6 linked regions of the Canis lupus familiaris genome follow. The protein of the gene in region 3 interacts with the protein of the main gene of each other region in a pairwise test. Links are inferred from orthologs where the notes say so. Each region holds a gene or a part of one and is shown on either strand. Other genes may lie near its edges. The genes, in order: SRI, BLK, STAT3, BMX, GADD45GIP1 and RPA2.

Region 1 (4,197 bases), on a different chromosome or scaffold from region 3:
TAGACAGATGTTACTTTTAGGGATTTAAAAAATAAAATACCCCAAGCCTCAAGTCCAGGCATATCGTAGATTCTAACCAAGGAGCAGGAACAATAATGTGAAAGACAATGGATATGCTGCTGTAGGCCAGGGCCGCTGCAAGGTAAGCAGGTGGGGTCATTTACAGGACTGGAAGGATAGGCAATCTAAGAACTCAAGTCTTGAGCTTTGCCCTGTCTTGTGGTTTCAAAGATACAGATCACTAACAGATTAAGCAGATACTTCAAGGGAAGCTCTTTCAGTTTTAGACACAATTTTCCACTCAATTTCTTCAACTATATTTCTCAGAATGCTGTTCTGAAAGGCGGCCTTGGGTTTTTATCCCATAACATTTGATAGCATCTTCACATGAAGATTATGTTATTTCTTGTTTTTGATCAAAACAAAGCAAAATCGAATTTCTAAGACTAAACATCCCTTCTGGACATGTCTGGGTTATACCAGCGGTGTATTTACTGTACACAGTGTCCTGGTGAGCAAGGGATGTGTCCTCCCTCAACGTACACCACCCCGTCCTACAGCTCAACCAAGAGAAGTGAAAGGTCTCCAGGAGCTAACACTTGGGTCTCTCTCGGTCAACAGGCCACAACACCTTTTAAGGACATGGAAGAGCTGACCTAGAATAGGCATCAGCCTTAAAGAGAAACCAAACTGCTCACAAGATTAACTTCCTCACAGTAAGGCAGTAATAACTTTCTTATTTTGAAGCTGGTAGTCTAACACAAGAACCTATTTCTTAGGGGGTAACTGATTAACAATCGAATTCAACCCAAAAAAGTGTTCATTAGAATCTGACTTCATAATTACCGGTATGTGTCTTCAAGTTGTACAAACAAGGGCTTGTGGTCGTCAGATCTAGAATTTCTCCTCTGGAAACCACCATGGACCCTGACAATTCATAGTCCTAATAACATCTTTCTACTTCACAGATCTTCACAATATATTTATAACCCCCTATTCCTGTTTAATCTGACCCTAATTCAATCACATGTTTAGTTTGAATTGAACTAACATAAATACAGGCAACACTTTGTCCTATTTGTTCTGAATATTCACAAATAAGTAACTATCCATTTCCTTCTCTCTTTTTCTCTTTTACAGAAGCAAAGGGATTCTTTTCCAGAGGAAAGTTCTTTTTTCCATCCCACTCTAACCATGGCTAATACAGAGGCAGACTCTGACAATTCTTGAATATTAAGGGGAAAAGCTAACCTGTCCAGCTACGGCAGCAAAGTAACCATAGAGCGGATCCTGAGTTTGTCCGGGAAACGTAGGTCCTCCGGGGGCCCCTCCATACTGTAAAACAATAAGCACAACAGCATCATTCCGCTGAATCCAGTTTTATTCTTTCACCACTGAATGCTTTTGTGCAAAGGCAGGCAACTGCCCGCCCTCCGCAGGGATGGTTCGCCTCCCCAGCACCGGGCACGCTTTAGCTGCAATCATTCCACCCCTTCTCTCCGTTCTCACCGCATCAGGATTCAAACGCCGGCAGCTTGGACCACGGTGAGTCGTGCAGATCGTGCCAGCCGCCTACGGGAAGCGACTCTAAAGCTCCCCACCGGCCTGCAGGTTACCGAGGAAACGCAACCGCGACGAGCAACTTAAGAGCGGGGCGCGAAGTGTTCTCCTTCTACTTTTAGAGCGTTTAAGGGATCTTTCGCGGCGGCCCGGGACAGGTGCACCCCGGCTTCGGGGTCTGGGTTGGGCCGTGGGGCGGACGACGCGCGACCCCGGCGCCGCGAGAGGAGGCCTCCCTCCGCCAGGGCTTTCCCCGACTTTTAAAAAAAATCTCTCACTTGCTTTCAAAGAGGGGAGGTGGCTCTCCGGACCCTTCGAGATTAAAATGGCTGTTTGCTCTCAGGGGAAGAAACCGGGAGGGGGAGGAAGCCGATACCCAAGGCCGCGCATCCCAGGCACCGGGGAGGGGGCGTGGGGGGCTTCCCGGGCCATCACCCCCCACCCCCCACCCCCACCCCCACCCCCGCGCCTCGGCCCCCACGCGGCCGCCCGCAGCGCGAAGAGGCGGGGAGGAGGAGGGGGCCTGAGGATGGGGCCGAGCGGCAAGGGCCTGCGGCGAGGCACCGCCCCGCGGAGCGGCCCAGGGCGGCCTCCCGGCGTCCACGGGGCCCCGGGGCCGCGGCCCGACCGCAAGCGCGCGCGGGCTCCACTTACCCCGCCCGGGTAGTACCCGCCGCCGGCGCCAGGGTGCCCCGGGTACGCCATGGTGCAGACTGCGCCGCCGCCGCGCCGCCGCGCCGCCTCCCTCCCGCCGGGGCCGCCCCCGGAGCGCACCACCCGGGCGGGGGGGGACGCGCGCCCGAGCCGCCCCCGGCCCCGGCCCCGGCCCCGGCCCCGCCCCCCGCCCCCCGCCCCGCGCTGTCCCGGCCCCGCGGGCGCCCGCCCCGCTCTGACTGCCCGGGGCCCGCGGCGCGGCGCTCACCCGCCGCCTTCCTCCCCGCGCCACGAATGGCACGTCCCAACCCAGGGCGGCGCCCCGGGGATTCTCGATTTCGTCCTGCTGCCTCGGTTCTGACGCTCCCGAGCCTTGCGGGCGGCTTCGGCTGTCGGGCCTCCCGGGCTCCCGGGCTCCCGGCGGAGGGCGCTTTTGGGAGGCAGGGGCTGCACGCTGGCCCCAGGGGCCGCTCCTGCACGCCTGGGAGGGAGGGGGGCGTGGAAAGAGCAAAACATGGAAACGCCCTTGGAAAACAGGAAAAAGCTTCAGGAACTGTGTGCGAGAGAGCATTTGGCTTGCGGTTGCACAGTTCACCGCGAGGGCACCCAGTCCGGTCCTGGTTCAGCTGCGGCGACACCCAGGGAGGACAGAGGCCACTCACTGGCAGGGCCTCCCCGCCCAGGCTCTCGGGGAAGGAGGTGTTAGAGTTATCTCGATGATTCAGGCGATACGACCACTCTTCCCAAAAAATTACTCAGCTACTTTTTTATACGAGGAAACTACAGCTAGGAGTGTGCTGGTAAATCGGAAGGTGAGAGGTTAGAACTCTTCCCGGAGGTAGATTCGGAAAATGGTTCTCTGCATACGTTTTCCTTTCTCGCCTGGTTGAACAGTCCGATGTGAGCAATTCAGGTGTCAGATTTTCGTTTGGTTTCGTCTCATGTAATTTCAGTCCTAAAGAATTTTTTTTCCCCCTGAATTTTATCGTTTTAAGAAATGCATTCATAAAAAAAAAAAGAAAAAGAAAGAAATGCATTCATGAGCAACATTCAGGGTATTTGCTATGGCGGTTGCACGGAAAAATTGAGCGTCATCAACATTTAACAAATACTGGATCACCTGCAGAGTGTGGTGATGTGCTTGCTCAGCATGGTAGACGGGGTTCCTCCACTCCAAGTCCCCGGGCTGTGTTCCCACTGGGGTCATTGTTTTTCTCTTCCTTCCAAGTCCCCTTTTTGGATAATCAGACTCCAAAAATGAAACTCCTGAACTGTCAGAACAATTTTTATAATCCCCGTTGTTACATATCAAATAAACTATAGATTACCTTTTTTTTTTTTTTTAAGATTTTATTTATTCATGAGAGACACAGAGAGAGACAGAGACACAGGCAGAGGGAGAAGCAGGCTCCATGCAGGGAGCCCGATGTGGGACTCGATCCCTGGTTTCCAGGATCAGGCCCTGGGCTGAAGGCGGCGCTAAACCCCTGGACCCCTGGGGCTGCACTGGATTAACTGTTTTAGGTTTGATTTAGGAAGTAGGAAGTAGACTATTGTTTTCAAATACCAAAGCGATTATCAAGATAGATTAGACATTTTATGAGTCCTTTGACCTCTGTGGGGTTCTTTTTTTCTATGTATGTATGTATGTAAGAACAACGCACGGGAGATCTGTCTACCCTCTCAACCAATTTTTAAGAGTACGATACAGTATTGTTGACTGCATGCACAGTGTGGTACCGCAGGGTCTCTAAGGTTTTTCATCTTGCCTGACAAAATCTATACCCCTTGAACAGCCACTCCCCATTTCTCCTTCCTCCAGCCCCTAGCAACCAGTATTCTACTTTCTGTTTCTATGAGCTTGATTATTTCAGATACCTCATATGATTACAATAACCAGGTATTTGTCTTTTTGTGATTGGCTTATTTCACTTGGCATAATGTCCTTGAAATTTATCCATGTTGCAGCATATCGCAAGATTT
Region 2 (3,500 bases), on a different chromosome or scaffold from region 3:
CAGGCAGGCCTCTGTTGGGGTCACCCTACAGCCCTCTCCCCACAACAATGTCATTCCCGAGGCAGAGGATTCCCGGAGGGCCCGCAAGAGCGAACCTGTACAGGCTCAGTGAAGGGGTGCTAACTTGCTGAGCATCTGACAGGCCCAAGGGGTCCCTGGTCCTGGGAGGAAGGGGGTGATGCAGCCTCTAGGGGAAGAGTTTGTCCAGGCAGCCTGACCCCCACAGAAGGCCCCTGTCTTCAGTGAGTAGCCTTGATCTTGATTAATGGGACAGATTTCAAATTTAGTGAGTTGGGACTGAACGGGAAAGACAAAAGCAAGAGCAGAGAACTGCTGCCCAAAGGGGGAGCCGGCGGCCTACATGGGCCCAGAAGATCGGGGCTTTCGCGCTTTGGGCTCAAGGCCACTGTAGAAGTTCAAGAACACAAGTAGAACCACAGGATTCCACAGAGCAAGCCAGACATTTGAGAGAGAGCAGACTTTGGAGGAGTTTCTGAGAGGGAACAGGGAACACTGGGAATAGAGCTGATTTCATGGGTGGAATCCTGCGCGAGGTCTTGTCTGGCAAGGGAGACACACAACGCAGTGGTGGAGCAGCCAGGCAAGCGCTGTGCCCGTTGGGAGGGCTTCACGGAGGAGGTGATGTTCGAGGTGGGTTTTGAAGGAGGAGTAGGATTTTGACAGTGGGGCGGGAGATAGCGAATGGAAACCACCCTGTGAGGAAGACTTCGGAATGGCAGCTAGGAGGACGACGACCAGGTCAGGCTGGCGGGCAGTCCTGCCGTGATAGGCAGACACAGAGGCCTCTGACCGCGGGGCCACATTCCAGAAACTTACTCCTTCAGTATCTGCAGCTTCTCTCCCTTCAGCATCTGCAGGTCCCTGTCATTCACTGAGCTGTAGTCATACAGGGCCACCACGAAACGCTCCTCTGGAGGGAACAAGGAAGAGATCCGCACGCTCCAGCCCAGCAGCGTAAGGGCAGGGCCTGGGTGAGTCTGTGCTGTGGGCCCTCTCCGGTTACCCCAGGTCAGGATGACACAGGGGTGAGGGGCAGCTGTGGTGCGCCTTCTCACCCACCCACACAGCAGAGGAAACTCCTGTTTGGCAGATGGGCCTCCTGACCTTGCTGCCGGCAACAAGGTCTCCACGTCGAAGGCCTCAGGCTGGACAGGGCCATGCTCTAGGGGAGTGGCGGCCTGAAGATCTAGGGAGACTGGCTGTATGGGGCTGGTGGCTGCAATCCCGTTTGGGAATGCACGTTGGCTGATTCCTTACTGGCCCAGAGGCCCATGAGCTTCCCTTCTCTTCCCCTTCCCTGCCTGCCCCTTCCCACCTCTATTCCAAAGGGGGTAGTGCTCATGGAAACATGGCCACCTTAGCAGTGATCTGTAACCTGCCCAAGGCAGTGTCACAGGGCCCCCGGCAGCAGTACCCCCGACTCGCTGCTGGTGCCTGGAATGGATGTTCAAATAGCCCCTGCTAATGGGGAGGGCTTTTCTATACACCTCCAGGGTGCCAAGACCCCTTTTCCAGGTCACTTGGAGGCCACCTAGCTTACCTAGGAGTGGATGACTCAGCTTTGTCACTGATGTGTGGTGTGATGGGCCAGTTACCTCCCCACGGTGGGGAGAGGGGATTGGAATAGATGACAGTGGCCTCCTCCAGTTCTGAGATTTGAGTTATTGTACCAAAGGCGGTTAGTGTATTGTTTTCCCAGGGGCTTCCTTATGGAGATGTGAGCCCCCTGGGAGGAAGTGAAGGATAAACCCTGCGGGAATTAATTGTGATTCCCCCAGCAGGGATGAGAAACAGCAGGTAAGATAACTAATCCCGTTTCAGCCTTTGCTCATGAGTTGGACAGACTCTGAGCTCTTTCAGGGAGGAGCCGTGTCTGATTCAATATTTCAGCTTCCCCAGTATTCAGACAGAGCCAGGCTCTGGGTACTGTTTGCTTGGTGCATGCCCTGGAGAGCTCCTGGTGCTGTGTGCAGGTGGGTCATGAGGGTGCTGGGGTGCAGCTCTCCTGTAAGCCAGTTCCGAACAATGCTGCCATCCTGTGAGTGTCTCCAAGGTCCAAACCCCTGGCCCAGGAGGGCCAAGGTCACTCCTTAGGCAACTGCCAACTGTCCTCGTACCCATCCGAATGGAAGTAGAGACGGTGTGTGCGTGTGTGGAGGGGTGAGTGGTCAGAAGGTCAGCAGAGGCTTTTGTAGGTGGGCAAGTGGGGGGAAAGATGGTGTTTCTGTACACGGGACAGAGGGCAGGAGGGAAGACAGACCCATCGGCCTTTGCCTTTTGAGGTTGGGAGTTAGAATCTTTGAAAGCTTGGGTTTATTTTTATGCTGTTTGTATGTACTGTAATGCTTTTCTTTGTGTCTCATTTACGGTTTGTAAAGTCTTTTTTAAAAAAAAAAAAATCCACCCCAGCTCAGGTACAGAAATAGGGCTTGGTTCCTGGAGAGGCCTTGGGCAGGAGGAGCCTGGGGCAAGGCTGGGAGGCACCCTTAGCTCTGCCTGCTGCAGCACCCTCCCCCCATCCCCAGCCTTCTCATCTCCGACCCTTGAGAGCTGGCCCTATCCTCTCCAGGAAGCTGCTGCTAACTGAGCCCCTGTTATGCCTGCACCCAGCCCAGGCCCAAGGAAGGTGGCCTGTAGAGCCTCAGCTTCCAGGGCAGCACCTTCTTACCTTGGTCCAAGCATGCGTCTGGAGGTGCAGGAGTCAGGTGGTTAAACAGGATCTGGAGCAGAAGTGCACACACACACACACACACACACACACACACACGCTGTATTAGTTCAACCCCCAAGGCCTGGGCAGGGCCTGGTGTGACAAGGAGGCTGCTGGCACCTGTCCGCTGGATAGTCTGTAGGGAGCTGCTATTTCAGCTCCTCAGGGACCAGTACCACCTCACAAGACCCCTGGACCATACACTAGGCTAGAGGAGAGGGCTGTGCGCTTTGTAAGAGGGAGCTATGGAACTGGGGTGGGAGTGGTGGAAAGTATGATCACCTGGATTCAAATGCTGCTTCTGCCATTAAATGATGAAGTTGCAAAAGGGTATTTATTCTCAGGAAAATTATTCTGAAAGTGCATTTCCCTAAAACTCCACAAATATATCCCTAGGTTTATTCCCTGTAGAGAAACTTTTGCACATGTGTACCAGGAAACATGTATGGGAATGCTCCCAGCAAAGAATTGTAATAATACATAAAAATTGTAAAGGGTGGGAAGCATCCTTATGACTAATGACAGAAAAATAAGCAAACTGGGGCGGAGTCATGCAAGGAAATTCTCTGCCACCTTTGGAGCTCCTGAGCTCTATCTAGCTGCATGCATCATCGTGGATGAAGTTCGCAAACGTAACGCAGATGTGACAACCCGTTCTCAGAAGAACGCATGCTGTTTGATTCGATTGATTGAAAGTTCATAATGGGCAGAATTAAACTAAATGGTCTTTAGGAGTATGCACACATGTAATGATACAGAAAAAGCAAAA
Region 3 (3,500 bases):
CCCGATAATCCAGATGGACTCTCCTCCCTACAGGGTCTTATCTTCTGGAAGGGCTCAGTCCCCTTCATCCCTTAACTTGTTCCTCACTGTCCATGTGTAAAGAAGATCTAAAGCTGTCCTGTTCAATGCGGCAGCCTGGAGCCACAGGTGGCTACTGAACATCAAAATGTGGCTAGTGCCAATCGAGATGGGTCGTTGCTGTAAAACACCCAGCAGGTTTCAAAGATTTAGTACCCCCTCAAAAAACCTCATTAACTTTTTCTTATGTGTTAAGATGCTAGTATTGGGGATTTATTGGGTTACAGAAAAGATATTATTGACGTTAACCTCACTGTTTCTTATTGCTATTTCCCATGTTGCTACTAGGAAATTTGCACTCACAGGCATGGTGCGCATTTGGTTTCTAAGGGAAAGTGTTGCTGTACAGCCTCTTTCTACCAGTGCATGGGGGGCCAGCTCTGGGCTGGCTGGCCACACAAAGGGGACAGACTTCCCTCCTAAGGCCCAAGTCTGTCACCAAACACTCACCGAACTGCCCTCCTGCTGAGGGCTCAGCACCTTCACCATTATTTCCAAACTGCATCAATGAATCTAAAGTGCGGGGGGACATCGGCAGGTCAATGGTATTGCTGCACGTCGTTCTGTAGGAAATGGGGAGCAGCAGGAGGGGAAAGGGCCGGGTTGACAAGACACAATGGAGAAAAAAAAAAAAAGAACAAAACACACACACACAAGCCATCAAACTCTGGTCTCCAACAGAAAAATAAAAGCTCAAGCTTTTTAAACACGCAAGATCACTTTGAGTACTACACAGAGCCCAGGGCATTCGGGCCCTTCACAGGGTAGCTCTCACCCAGTGTCCTACTCCCAGGATAACTGAGGACACCAGAAATGAAGGCCAAATTGAGAAGGGAAGCCACTTACGGTGTCACACAGATAAACTTGGTCTTCAGGTATGGGGCAGCACCTGGGAAGAAGAGAAGTGGGACTTACTAATTGCGACCCCACTGTGGGTAGAGGGCAGGAGGAAGCTGGCTGCCTCACGGCGCTGGCTGACATGCATCTCACCTCATCCTGGAGCAGAGGTTGTTTTGAACCCCATCTCCCCTCAGGGCTGCCCGCCCACCACCCTGTATGACTTGGGGTTCCAGCGAGGAGCTTGCAGCTTGGCAGGTGAACTTTTTCCATAAAGCCTTCCTGACGTGCAGAGACTTTTCAGCACACCCTGGTCCCACCTGAGCCTAGAACCTTGCGTTCATTCTTTCCCTAGATGATGTGAGCACTGACCTGCCTGCATGTGATCTGAGGACTGTGTTCTGGCCTGGCTGAGTCTTTTAGATAACGTCTCTGCAGGTGGGATTGGAGCCTATCCTGTCTGGGCTCTGATACCACAGTCCTGCTCAGATGCCAAAGTCGCCAAGTCTTGAAGAGAATGGGGAAATTGCTCGTGCTGTTCGGAAAGGCCCAGAGTCACACCTTTCATTCCTAATGGGCATCCATCTGCCTCTACTACTTTTCAGATGAGCTATATTAGTAACTCCCCATTTGGATAGTGAAATCACACAAAAAGCAGCCTCTCTCTTAAGGGAGCCTGCCTGGTGTGGCAGTACCATCCACTCTGGGCTGAAGACAGGGGGCCTCATTATGTCTCCCACAGCTAAGACACCCAGGGCAAAGCACTTTCTCCTCTAAAAGGGAGGGGAAGAGGGAGGTGCCCATCTCTGTCATTTATAATTTATCTTTTAAACATTTTATTTGACAGAGAGAGTGCATATGCATGTGTGCACAAATAGGCAGAGGGAGAGGGAGAAGCAGACTCCTCACTGAGCAGAGCCCAATGCGAGGCTCGATCCCAGGACCCTGGGATGATGACGTGAGCCAAAGGCAGACGCTTAACTGACAAGAGCCACCCAGGCGCCCCGGTCATTTATAATTCTTATTCCGTAGTTAGAAATGTGAGGACTGGAATAAATGAATTTAGGTGCTAAATCTTTACACCAAGAGGTCAAGGAGCTTGGAGACACTGGCATGAAATCTGAGGGATTCAGGTGAGCAAATCACTTAGGAGGTGTGAGCCAGGGGTGGGGTAGGTGTGGGGTGGGCCAAGAGCAGCACAACTGTAAAGCTTGTGGTTTATAGAGAGACTAAGGAGGCAGAAAGTATGCTGACAATCTGAGAAAAGCCATTGTCAGGGGGTCACTAGACTGCCTTCCAAGGTTATCTGGGGCCAAGAAATAGATTCACATGGTGCAGAATCCAAAGACACTACCCAGGCAGGGTTCTGGTGTCATAAATCCACTGTGGCATAGACCTGAGGGGAGCTGACATCCCTGACAGAAAAGGATTTAGTTCCTCAGTGATCAGATAGCAGAGAAAATGAGCCTCGGCCTGAGATTCAGCAAGACCAGAAACAGAGGAGAGCCCAGACTCGAAGCGGAGCTATGGCTGCGTACAAGGTTGTCAATATACTTCATCCATTTTGTAAGGTAAGGGGGCTTTTGTTTCTAAGAGAGGACTTTCTCCTTCAAGCCATTGAGGGGTCTGGTGGAGAAGTAAGGAGGAAAGAAGAGACCTGGGAAGATGATCTGTCCCTGGGGACAAAAATATTTTCATAATGGAAATCAAGAGGAAATGATGGGCACAGACCCATCTCCCAGAGGACTCCCACTTTAATGCAGGCACTCCCGTAGCACTGGGCCCATCCCCTCGTCATGCTCCCACCACACCAAGCCCTCCAGTGCCCACTGCCTACACTCGCCTCCCCAGGAGGTGGGCAGAGCACTCAAGTAATTGGTTCCTTTCTCATGCCTGGAGTCTTGCCCCTGAGAAAACACCGGTGACTATAGGCAGGAAAGGACCTTGCCTCCCGGTCACGCAGGATGGCTGATGATAATGGAGGGCATGGCCTCAGATTGGGAACTTGGATCATGAAAGCAAAATGAGCCAAAGGACCAGCACTTGGACCTAAATGTCCTCTGCAAAAGGAACAAAGAGTAGTGTGTCGAGGCTGATAAACAGATCTCCCAACTGAAGCACGGCTGCAAAGCAAGATAAGTAGCAGACAGGAAGTGAGAGTTAGCTCTCCTATAGTATGAACAAAACCCAGCACTAGAGCAGAGAAATGAGGGAAGCCAATTATCAAGTAACTCAAATTCCCTCTTCCAAGTCCCAGTCTTCCCCCATCCCAAGAAATTCCTCAGAGGGGATTCCTAGGAAAAGGTGGGTGTGTGCGTGCTTGAGGTCCTTACATAAAAACAGTTTTTCCAAAAGCAACTGGGGTAGGGAAGCTACCCTCAAAGGATGACTTTAAGGAGCCCCCAGAAGGCTCTCTTATTAAGGGAAGTGAAATAAAAACAAAGAATGGCAAATCATAGATTCCCCATCAGGATATGGATGGAGAAGAACCCAGGGAGCCAAAGAAGCAAATTCGGATGGGACAGACTAGCAGAGCCCCCCCTCCGCACTGATGACAACACTAACCCTTACAAACTTACTGTGGA
Region 4 (3,500 bases), on a different chromosome or scaffold from region 3:
TTTTTTTTTAAGATTTTATTTATTTATTCATGAGAGACACAGAGAGAGAGAGAGAGGCAGAGACACAGGCAGAGGGAGAAGCAGGCTCCATGCAGGGAGCCCGATGCGGGACTCGACCCCAGGACCCCAGGATCATGACCTGAGCCAAAGGCAGACGCTCAACTGCTGAGCTTCCCACGCGTCCCCCTCTAACAGTTTTTAGAGAGGAGCCCTTAAAAACTAGAACCGAGTTTGCGTGAAACCCAAAATGTTGAAGGGCTTGAGATGTAGTCTTGGACGTCCTGCATGAAAGCAGCTGTGACCACCATCCCCTTTGGCATCGACCAACCCTTTGGGCATGCCTGGTGCAAGCCCCAAACACGGCTCGGTGCTGTGTGCAGCTCATACTCATTTCAGCTAGCATCCTCGTTAAAATTCATCACTAGATCAGGGGTCAGCAAACCTTGGCCCGGGACCAAACCCAGTGGCCTGTTGCTGTAAATAAAGTTGTCCTGGAGCAAGCCTTGCCCACTCGTTCCTGTATTGTGTCTGATTTCCTACTGTAACCGCAGAGTGGGGTAGTTGCCAGAGATGCTGTACCACCTACAGAGTTTAAAAATACCTGCTATGTGACCCTTCACAGAAAAGGTTTGCTGACCCCTATTTTATTAAAGAGCCATACTGAAATTGAGTAAAGGTAATTAGAGGACAGAAATGATTCTTAAGTTGCGATTAGGTGGATTTTCTGATCTTTCTATGCTACGAGAAACGTCAGGCCTGCTTACGATCACTGTCAGAGGGATGCAGGGTAAATTATCCAAATTATCATAAAGTTATGGATATATGAACTGCAACTGAGACCTATTGCATGTCTATCTTGGTCCATAAGCATAATTTGACTTTTTATATGACATCCAAAAGACTGCATGAGTAAAAGAAAATTTAGTTAGCCATTTATTTTTTTACACGACACACATTTTTAAAATACTACTTTTGTCAAAGTAGTATCGTTCACTTAAAAAAATAATTCAATGTACGCAGAAGAAAGAAAAGCCACGAAGATAGCATTGTGGTGAATACTTGACATCCTTTATGGGCTGATTAACTTGTCAAAATTAGTTTCACTCTCCATGTGTTGATACGCCTTATGAAAGATGCTTTTAAAACTCAGTATCCTTACTCAAGAGTTACAGTTTGTTTTTGACCAAAAAGTGGCATCACCGGGCTTGATTACTCCCCCTAGGAACTAGAAGTTGGCTCCGGATATTTTCTGGCTATTTGCAAACACTAAATCCATTCAGAAGTAATTTGTTTCCAATGAGGACATTCAAAATGAACCAGGGCCTCTGAAAACAATTTTTTTTTTTTTGAAAACAATTCTCAAAGGAGAGGAGGCTCAAAGGAGAGGAGGCCCCACGGATATTTGAAACAATATTACTTTTGGGATAAGTGGATTTGAATATTTGAATTTGTGGATTTGAATAAGTGGATTTGAATATTTGAAACAATATTACTTTTGGGATAAGTGGACCTTCAAAGACAGAACTGTGAAGGGAGCAGTATACTCTTGGATGGTTGTTTTAGAAGGTTGTTTAAAAAAAAAATACAGGGCAGCCGGGATGGCTCAGCAGTTAGCATCACCTTCAGCCCAGGGCCTGATCCTGGAGTCGTGAGATCGAGTCCCACGTCGGGCTCCCTGTGTGGAGCCTGCTTCTCCTTCTGCCTCTGTGTGTGTGTGTGTGTGTGTGTGTGTGTGTGTGTGTGTGTGTCTCATGAATAAATAATAAAATCTTAAAAAAAAACAGCCACAGCAACTTGTAATATTGCCTTATTGTAAATATTTTACATAAAATCTGTGGCCCTGAAAGTCAAAGAAATTTTGAAGTTAGTCCTTCAGGTACGGTTCTAGAATAATTTTCTTCCTTCTTACATATTTCTGGCTGCCCAAAGTCTCGAAGCTGGCCGACTGTTGAAATCCTGCGGCTAGGCCGGGACGACAGCACACTGGCCACCACGCAGGGAGCACGCGTAGCGGCAGGTGCTTTCTCCTGGCCGTGCTCGCGGCAACCCTGGGACGTGCCCCCCCCCCCCCCGCCGGGGAGGAGACGGGAGCGTGCTCGGAGGGTGGCTGAGGCGCTGCCAGGCCTGTAAGCGGCAGAGGCGAGCTCGAGGCCGCAGCCGCCGCGGCCAGGACCCCGTATCTAGACCCGGAGTCCGCGGCGGCCTCCGAGGGGCTTCGGGACACCGTGACCATCCAGAGAGCGAGCACAGACGTGCCGGGCACTCACGTTCCCGAGAGAGAGCCAGTGGTGGTGATCAGAGTCTCAAAAGGACACCTGACCCACAACATACCAGGGACCATCGAGGCAAAAGGAGGAATTTTGTCAGTGATCTTTCCTGTAAATCCGCTCGGGCGGCCGATTTGACGGGGCGGTGAGACGTGGCACAGCCGCCGAGGCAGAGAGAAAGGAGGGGCTGGGCTGGGGTTGTCTGTCCGGGGGTGCGGGGGGACGAGGCCCCAGCCGCCTCTCGGAAGCACCCCGGAATCTTGGCCCCCAGTAGCCCCCCTGCAGCTGCCTTCCCGATGGCCCGCTGGCCGGCAAGAGGAGGACCGTGGAGAAGGGACGGTGGGCTCCGGAGGCGAGGGCACAGGGCCACCTTCCACGCCCGGGCCTCTGGCTGGGACTGGTTCCCCGGGCTCCCTCGCCCCGGCCGGAGCCTCCCCGAGCCTGCACCTGCTGACACGGCCTTTCCTTTGTCCGCCGGCCGCCCTCCGTGTGCCGTAGGGATCCTGATGTGGGAAGTGTTCAGCCTGGGGAAGCAGCCCTACGACCTGTACGACAACTCGCAGGTGGTTGTGAAGGTCTCCCAGGGCCACCGGCTCTACCGGCCCCAACTGGCGTCGGACACCGTCTACCAGATCATGTACGGCTGCTGGCACGAGGCAAGTGCACCCCGGGGGGCCGGCGGCGGGTGCGCCCAGGGCGGTTGCCCAGGACCCGTGGGCCGGGCCGCTTTGACCGAAGCGCCTGCCCCGGGCGGGCCCAACGGGCCTCAAGCGTTCGGGAGTGAAACCCAGCAGCGCGGCCGCGCAGGTGCAGGTGCAGGTGCAGGTGCAGGGGCTACCAGCGTAACGAGCCACTTACGTCCAGCACCGTTTGAAGAACTTCATAAATATATATATTTTAAAGATTTTATTTATTTATTCATGAGAGAGAGAGAGGCAGAGACACAGGCAGAGGGAGGAGCAGGCTCCACGCAGGGAACCTGACGTGGGACTCGATCCCGGGACTCCAGGATCACGCCCTGGGCCCAAGGCAGGTGCTAAACCACTGAGTCACCCAGGGATCCCTAGAACTTCATAAATATTAACCCATTTGTTCATCAGGCAACATACTAGGAAGTACGTGCTATCGCGGCCAAAACTAAGAGGAGAGGGGCAGCCCGGGAGGCTCAGTGGTTTAGCGGCGCCTTCGGCCCAGGGCCTGATCCTGGAGACCCGGGATCGAGTCCCACATCAG
Region 5 (3,840 bases), on a different chromosome or scaffold from region 3:
TTGAAGTGAATAAAGTTTTAAAAGCCAGTCCGGTGGTGTGTGCCTACTGGGGCTTCCTGTTCCAGCTCGTCTGGGTCTGGGGGCTAGTTGGGCACAGGTGATATGGCAGTGGTCCGTTGGCCTCTGCAGTTTGGGGCTCCCAGTGTCTCACACCCCCCTCTGAGGCTGTCTCATTCCCAGGCAGTGGGCCCCAGCCTAGCCTTGGAAGGGCTGCTTCTCCCTGCCCCCCACCATCACCACCACAGTCTGTTTTGGCTACACTTCCCCCCCTAGTAATTGGCTAATTACTGGAGATTAATGTTGGTAAACAGAAGCCTTCTTCTCTTCTGCCATCTGCTCCTGCATTATTTTCCCCCACCGCAACCCCTTTTCTTCCCCTGAAGCCCCAGTTAGCATGGCCTAGAGTCCCCAAGGAAGCCAAGCCCAGAAGGGTGGGGGGCTCCTGGCCACAGGTGTTGGGGCGCTGAGGAAGGGGCATGATGAGAGAGGACACAGAATTCTCCAGGGCTGGGGCCATCAGGTGGCAGGTTTTATTGGGAAAGGCTAGCTCAGGAGCTGGGTGCTGCAGAGTCTTGGGCCATAGCAGTGGCCAGTGCCGCAGCTCGTGCCTCCTTCTTCTGTCTTTGTTTCTCCTCCTTGAGGCGTTTGCGCTGCTGCTTCTCCAGGTCCTGCAGCAGCTCCTGGAAGCGGGCACTCCTTGGGTCCACGTGGTAGCCCAGGCGCTCCTGGGCCTCGGCCTGCAGTCGGGCCCGCCTCTCCTTGTCTGCCTGTTCCTTCTCCCTGCGCTCCTGCTGCTGCCGCCGCCAGTTCTCAATCATCTGTGGCATCTTGGCCATGCGCTCTGCAATGAGCTGCTCCCTGCAGGGGAGGGTAGAGTGGTGAAGATAGCAAGAGCCAGCCAGAAGAGGAGCACCCATCCAACCACAGCCCACCCCTAGTCTGCCCACATTCTGATTCCTCTAACTCAGATGAAAAACTGGGAAGGCTTCCGGGGGTCGTTAAAACTGTCAGGAAAAGTCCTTGACAAGCGAAGTAACAGGCAGGAGAGGTGGATTAACTTGTGTATGACCCTGAGCACAAGAGCACTAAACCCCTCAGGGGAGACCTCAAGTCAACTCAGTGTTTCACTGAGCTGTCTACTGAGCCATCCCAGAGCTACACACCATATGGCCTTTCCCACAGCACACTCTCATCCTGCAGACATCGCTGAGCACCTCCTGTATGCCAGGCCCAGTTGTAAAGGCAAGAAATGGATTGGATCTTTCCTTCCAGTTCTGTGAGTTTGTAGGTGCCAGTCACAGTCCCCATTTTGAGGATTAGAAACATGAAGCTGAAAGATCTAAAGCCCCACAGCAGGGTTATCCAGCTGGGATGGGACAGAGACTGAGGTTCACATTCTAGCTCCACTGTTCATTGATGGGGTGACTAGACATATGACTCCAAACTTCCAGGCCTCAGTTTCTCATCTCTAAAATGAGGGTGATGCTCTCGTACTCCTACAGCTATTACGAGGACAAGAACAATGAAAACCAGGAGGGCACTTGGCCTGCTCCCTCCCGAAGTGGCAGCATCCCGACTTTCTTTCCTAGTCTTGAGTTCTTTCAAGCCCAATGCTTAAGACCTGTCTCCAAGTCCAACCTCTGCATTGATTCCAGGCCCCATCACTTCCCATTCGTCCCCCGCCACACTGACCTTAGCATATTCCTACCTCAGGGCCTTTGCACCAGCTGTTCCTGCTACCAGGAACACTCTCCCTAAGATCTCTCCACCGCTATGTCTGGTCAAGTCCCTAAGGATCGAGTTCTTAAGAGAGTTTCTAGGTCTCACAAGCCAGAGTCGCTCTGCAGCACACATATTTTCCACCCAATTTTATCTTCCTAATGGTTCACTGTTGCCATCTGAAATTATCTTGTTCTCTGCTATGTGCTCAGCACCTGGGAAAGCCTTGCACACAGGAGGGCCTCCGCCCACAGCCCCGCGCCTGCCCGACCGCACACACCTGGCCTGACGCTTCTGCTCCGCCGCCAGCTGCTGCACCCGCAGCGACTCCTGCATGGCCGCGAGGCTCGGGCACCATTCGCGCTCCTCAGCTTCCAGCTCGCGCAGCTGCTCCCGCGACGGCCACAGAGAACCGGGGGCCACCCCGGAGGCGGCGCCGTGCCGCGCGAACTGCTTGGCCGCATAGCGCGGCCCCAGCTGCCAGCGCGGGGTCAGCGGGTCGTCCGGGTCTGGCCACCAGGGCCCTGGCAAGCGGCGTGGGGGCGGCGGCGCCCGGTAATCACGGGAGCCGCGGCCCAGGTTCGCCGGCAGCCCTAGCAGGCAGCGCGCTCGCCGCACGGGCGCCGCCATCTTGGCTGTGCGGGGTCCTCGCGGGCCGGCCGGGCTGGCCACCGCACTGCCTGCGCGCGAGGTCCGATGGCCGCCGGGGCGGAGCGAGGGGCGTCCTGTGCCCCAGCCCCAGGCAGGGGAGAGAAGGGGGTAATATATTTTTATACATCTCAAACATACATTTTTTTATACATCTCATCTCTTATTTATTTTAAATAAAATTTAAAATTTTATTTTAGTAGCTATTTCTTAAAATTATACCAAATTTTACTTTTATACATTTAAAGTAGCATTTGATTTCTTTCAAAATTTAAATGTCTAAATTTCAAACTACTTAAAAATTTAAATATTGCTTCAGTTTGAATTTCAATCTACATATTACTTTATATTTTAACTAGAGTCTTTTTAAGATGTTCGTTAAAATATTTAAATTCCATTTTAAATACTCGAATATTGTTCATACATAACATTAGATATTTATTTTTATGCTTTATTTTGTGCTTTTAAATTTGATTTTGAAGGGACGCCTGGGTGGCTCAGGGATCGAGTCTCACATCACTCTCCCTACCTGGAACCTGCTTCTCCCTCTGCCTGTGTCTCTGCGTCTCTGTCTCATGAATAAATAAAATATTAAAAAAAATTTTTTTTAAGATCTCAAGATTTTCATTTTAAAGAATTATTTAAAGCCTCACCAAGACAATTATTTTAAATATTTAAATTTATACTTTAAAATATTTAAAGTTGTATGATTAAGATATTTCTGTAGAAATTTTATTTTAAATTTTATTGTAAACATCTTGTTACTTTGTGCCTTTTAATTTTTAAACATTTATTTGAGAGAGTGAAAGAACACAAGCAGGGGGAGTGGCAGAGGGCAAGGGAGAAGTAGGTTCCCTGAAAGCAGGGCTCAATCCCAGGACCTCCAGATCATAACCTGAGCCAAAGGCAGATGCTCACCCACTGAGCCACCCAGGCGCCCCTAATTTAATTATTCATATTTAAAAATATTTAAAATATTTAACCATGGGGTAGCAATTAAACAGTGTTTTTTGAAAACAGGATTTCTGCCTTAAAAAGAAAGGAAATTCGGGGACACCTGGGTGGCTCAGCGGTTGAGCACCTGCCTTTGGCTCAGGACATGATCCCAGGGTCCTGGGATCAAGTCCCATATCGGGCTCCCTGCGTGGAGCCTGCTTCTCCCTCTGCCTATGTCTCTGTGTCTCTCATTAATAAATAAATAAAATCTTAAAAAAAAAAAAAAAGGGAAGGAAGGAAGTTCTGTCTCATGATACAACACGGATGAACCTGGAAGACATTACGATGAGTGAAATAAGCCAGTCACAAGAGGACGTATTTTATGTGATTCTGCTTATATGAGGTCTTTGGAATAGCCAAATTCATAGAGACAGAGAGTAGAATGGTGGTTGGCAGGGACAGAAGAGACAAAGAATGGGAGTTAGTGTTTAATGGGGACAGAGTATCTGTGTGAGAAGATGAAAAAGTTCTGGAGAT
Region 6 (3,411 bases), on a different chromosome or scaffold from region 3:
TTCAATAATACAGATTTTTTATTAAATAATTATTTTTAAAGATTTTATTTATTTATTCATGAGAGAGAGGCAGAGACACAGGCAGAGGGAGAAGGTAAAAACAAGCCATAAATAATAAATAAGTGCATGTTTGAATAGTAAAGTACCAAGGATAAATAAAGACTATTATAGCAAATCTCCAGGTAATTTTCTTCTCGATGCTAGTTTTCCTCTGGTTCCCCTCAGCAAAAATAAGGAGCTAAGAGGTACCTTTCTCTCTGTTTGATATTCTGTGCTTCAAAGAGTCACTTTATCTTCCCTTGAAATACTTGTTAATGATGACAGTCATCCTTTCCAGTGTAAGCAATTGTTATTGGGAGAATGGCTTAAATTATTTTTGTGAGCTGCTTAATCAACAGGCTATCTAACAATAACAAGGACTGTGTTTAAATTGGTAAATTTTCTAACACTGTGAACTTCTTTCTTAATTCAGCCCCCAGCAGGGAGAGCACCTATCAGCAATCCAGGAATGGGTGAAACAGGAAACTTTGGTGGGATTAGCTCCATCCCAGCAAATGGCCTCACTGTGGCCCAAAACCAGGTAAACACTGTGTGGCTCCAGAAATTCAAGACACAGGCAGTCTTAAATTTGTTACTTCCCTAATGAATCTCTAAGGTTAGGGACCTGAACCATTTCTTTCTTATAAAGGGACTCAGGTTTACATAAAGAAGTTGATTCAGAGTAGTTGCTAAAATCTTTCTCATTTGAATTGAATCTTCAGGTGCTGAATTTGATTAAGGCTTGTCCAAGACCTGAAGGATTAAACTTTCAGGATCTCAAGAACCAGCTTCAACACATGTCTGTAGCCTCAATTAAGTGAGTATTTGGTTTCTAACAACTGGAGCTCTAGAATTGTACCCATTTCAACTCACCAGGGTTTCCTGATAATGAGAAGTGAATTAAAAATAAAAATAGAACTGTCAGCTGCAGTCTCATTGACAGAAGGGAAGTTGTTCAGTCATGGAAACATAAAAAAAGAACTCAAAATGATGGTGCTTCCCGTCACATCACTGATTAACTTGTTCATTTTTTTTTTTTTTTAATTTATTTATGATAGTCACAGAGAGAGAGAGAGACAGAGACACAGGCAGAGGGAGAAGCAGGCTCCATGCACCGGGAGCCCGATGTGGGATTCGATCCCAGGTCTCCAGGATCGTGCCCTGGGCCAAAGGCAGGCGCCAAACCGCTGTGCCACCCAGGGATCCCTAACTTGTTCATTTAACAAACAGTGATTCCCATTATGGGCAAGGGATATAATTTTGTCAAAGTTGACCAGATAAAATTTGACCTGGAGGAGTGAGATCTTCAGCTCCTGGTCCTCACATGTATTGTCCCATTGGTGTTACTGTTTCCACTGTGGAGATGTGCATTTGACTGTCTGAACCTGAAACCATAGAGCGTCCTTCCAACATCTTTTGTTTCCATGTTAGACAAGCAGCTTCCTGATCCTGATGAAAGAATCAAACAAGCAGAGTATTTTGGTGCATTTTGTTAGTGTAAATCACTTGATATTCTAGGTTTACACAGAAAAGAAAGGCTTGGGTCTAATTTCATTTCCTGTTTTATAAAATGAAGATATTAATTCATATCTCAGAGTTCCAGTGATGATGAGGTACAGAAACACTGTCATGTAGTAGTTGCTCTGTAAATTATTGCTGTTATTAAATAGGCAGTTAATACTATTAATATTATTAAACATGTTACAGATACTGATCCTGAGAGCCTTAAAGGGTATGAAGGTGTTCTATTGTTTCTGCAAAAGGTCTTTCCTTTATGTCCTTCAACTTCCCAGAGGGTTGGTGGGAGGAGGAACTTTGAAAAATAGGTGTTTATACTAGGAGTTTTATGTGCATGCGGACTATATTCTTAGATCCTTGTTTCAATTTGCATAGATTGGCATTTGAGTTAGGCTCTATTTTCTTGCCTTTATACCATTTGGTAGAGGGGTCCAGGGCAGCTCTGTTAGCTATTGTCTCCATGCATTGTTTCAGTTTTGCAATTTTACTCGCACTTCTCCCCGCAAGAGTCCCCTGTGAGCAAAATCTGTGTTTGGCCATACCCAAAAGACAGTTTCCTTTCTTCTGCATCAGTTTGATAATGAGCCTTTTTTTTTTTCTTTCTTTCTTTCTAGGCAAGCTGTGGATTTTCTTAGCAATGAGGGCCACATCTATTCCACTGTGGATGATGATCATTTTAAATCCACAGATGCAGACTAACTGGATCTAATTGAGTACTCCAGGTATTTTCCAGCTGGACCAGATTTCATAATCTGTTGTCTCCAACTGTGCATATGTTTGGTCAGTTGACGTCTAGGGAGTAGGTTTCATCTAGAAAGGGTCTCATTTAACATCCTTTTGAAACTTAGTGCTCTGGCTTTTTTGTTTTGTTTTGTTTATTTTTTTTTGTTTTTAATTTTTGTTTTTATGAAGCTCAATTTTGGGCAGTTGATGAGAATATAAACCTGGGTGGACTTTCTTAAAGTTACGAATCAGCCATTTACAACATCAGGACTGATGGAAGTGGGAGAGACATACTACCAAGAGAGTTGGGCAGTATTAATTAAAGAATACTCAGGAGTTTCTGCTCCTATAATGTTCCCTGTTGAGAGAAGATGAGCAGAACTAGGGCCTTCAGCAGGGAGCTAGCCAAAAAACCTGCTAACCTCTGCCTGGTTTTGTTCCACCCTTTAGTTGGCTATATGGTATTATTTTCAGAATTGCACTTTCCTTCACCTTGTCATGACTGCTGCCGAAAGTGTGTTTTTATGAACATGAAGTTCTAGAGTCGTGACCTCATGAGAGGAGAGGGGAGAAAGAAATATTTCGATTTCAATACAAAATCCATATGTTTAATAAAAGTTCTATTGCAGAATCTGTGGAAATGTTTTTTTTTTTATTCCTAAGATGGTATAATTAATACTTTTATAATCTGAGATGTGTAGCATAGCTTGACTTGGGTTTGATATCTTGGCTTTCCCATATTTAGTTAGGATCTTGGGTAGACTACGTCAGTTCTAAAGGCCTCCCATTTCCTTATTTATGAAGAGAACTGTGTCATTTCCTCATAGGTGTGTCGTGAAGATTGAGCAAAATAAGGTTTGTAAAGCATCTACCATTGCCATTAGTAGAGGTTATAAAGTGAACCTTAATCTTGACTCTAGCAATATATGGTCACGTAACTGAATTGAATATCTATTATTTAACCTCGAGATGAGACTATCTAAAGGCCTGCAGCCTTTGGTGAGCTTAATCAGTTCTATTTCTTACAAGAGAGCAAACTAGCTCAAAGATGTTTTTGACAACTCCAGAATGTAAGGTACATCTTGAATAAAAGAACTAATTCTGAGGTAAGTTAATGAGATGTAACATGCA

What was found.
Region 1: the proteins of STAT3 (region 3) and SRI interact in binary tests that used the Homo sapiens proteins (3 or more experiments, as listed by UniProt). The link is inferred for Canis lupus familiaris from reciprocal best matches to the Homo sapiens genes STAT3 and SRI.
Region 2: the proteins of STAT3 (region 3) and BLK interact in binary tests that used the Homo sapiens proteins (3 or more experiments, as listed by UniProt). The link is inferred for Canis lupus familiaris from reciprocal best matches to the Homo sapiens genes STAT3 and BLK.
Region 4: the proteins of STAT3 (region 3) and BMX interact in binary tests that used the Homo sapiens proteins (3 or more experiments, as listed by UniProt). The link is inferred for Canis lupus familiaris from reciprocal best matches to the Homo sapiens genes STAT3 and BMX.
Region 5: the proteins of STAT3 (region 3) and GADD45GIP1 interact in binary tests that used the Homo sapiens proteins (3 or more experiments, as listed by UniProt). The link is inferred for Canis lupus familiaris from reciprocal best matches to the Homo sapiens genes STAT3 and GADD45GIP1.
Region 6: the proteins of STAT3 (region 3) and RPA2 interact in a two-hybrid assay, tested with the Homo sapiens proteins (2 studies listed by BioGRID and IntAct, with this or other methods). The link is inferred for Canis lupus familiaris from reciprocal best matches to the Homo sapiens genes STAT3 and RPA2.

What each region holds. Positions count from the first base shown.
Region 1 is NC_049235.1:14,252,280-14,256,476, forward strand, and holds the start of SRI (sorcin), read right to left. Parts: upstream 2,801-4,197; 5' UTR 2,786-2,800; coding exon 2,483-2,785; intron 2,327-2,482; exon of another isoform or gene 2,266-2,326; coding exon of another isoform or gene 2,215-2,265; intron 1,336-2,214; coding exon 1,252-1,335; intron 1-1,251. UniProt on the Homo sapiens protein: Calcium-binding protein that modulates excitation-contraction coupling in the heart. Contributes to calcium homeostasis in the heart sarcoplasmic reticulum. Modulates the activity of RYR2 calcium channels.
Region 2 is NC_049246.1:26,504,762-26,508,261, forward strand, and holds part of BLK (tyrosine-protein kinase Blk), read right to left. Parts: intron 2,742-3,500; coding exon 2,690-2,741; intron 932-2,689; coding exon 838-931; intron 1-837. UniProt on the Homo sapiens protein: Non-receptor tyrosine kinase involved in B-lymphocyte development, differentiation and signaling. B-cell receptor (BCR) signaling requires a tight regulation of several protein tyrosine kinases and phosphatases, and associated coreceptors.
Region 3 is NC_049230.1:20,483,442-20,486,941, reverse strand, and holds part of STAT3 (signal transducer and activator of transcription 3), read right to left. Parts: intron 968-3,500; coding exon 925-967; intron 642-924; coding exon 529-641; intron 1-528. UniProt on the Homo sapiens protein: Signal transducer and transcription activator that mediates cellular responses to interleukins, KITLG/SCF, LEP and other growth factors. Once activated, recruits coactivators, such as NCOA1 or MED1, to the promoter region of the target gene.
Region 4 is NC_049260.1:11,831,767-11,835,266, forward strand, and holds part of BMX (cytoplasmic tyrosine-protein kinase BMX), read left to right. Parts: intron 1-2,765; coding exon 2,766-2,923; intron 2,924-3,500. UniProt on the Homo sapiens protein: Non-receptor tyrosine kinase that plays central but diverse modulatory roles in various signaling processes involved in the regulation of actin reorganization, cell migration, cell proliferation and survival, cell adhesion, and apoptosis.
Region 5 is NC_049241.1:49,637,586-49,641,425, reverse strand, and holds GADD45GIP1 (growth arrest and DNA damage-inducible proteins-interacting protein 1), read right to left. Parts: upstream 2,371-3,840; 5' UTR 2,350-2,370; coding exon 2,000-2,349; intron 859-1,999; coding exon 549-858; 3' UTR 501-548; downstream 1-500. UniProt on the Homo sapiens protein: Acts as a negative regulator of G1 to S cell cycle phase progression by inhibiting cyclin-dependent kinases. Inhibitory effects are additive with GADD45 proteins but also occur in the absence of GADD45 proteins.
Region 6 is NC_049223.1:71,871,097-71,874,507, forward strand, and holds the end of RPA2 (replication protein A 32 kDa subunit), read left to right. Parts: intron 1-472; coding exon 473-580; intron 581-761; coding exon 762-856; intron 857-1,158; exon of another isoform or gene 1,159-1,345; coding exon of another isoform or gene 1,346-1,488; intron 1,489-2,171; coding exon 2,172-2,256; 3' UTR 2,257-2,911; downstream 2,912-3,411. Other genes in the region: protein THEMIS2, read right to left, coding at 1,346-1,488. UniProt on the Homo sapiens protein: As part of the heterotrimeric replication protein A complex (RPA/RP-A), binds and stabilizes single-stranded DNA intermediates that form during DNA replication or upon DNA stress.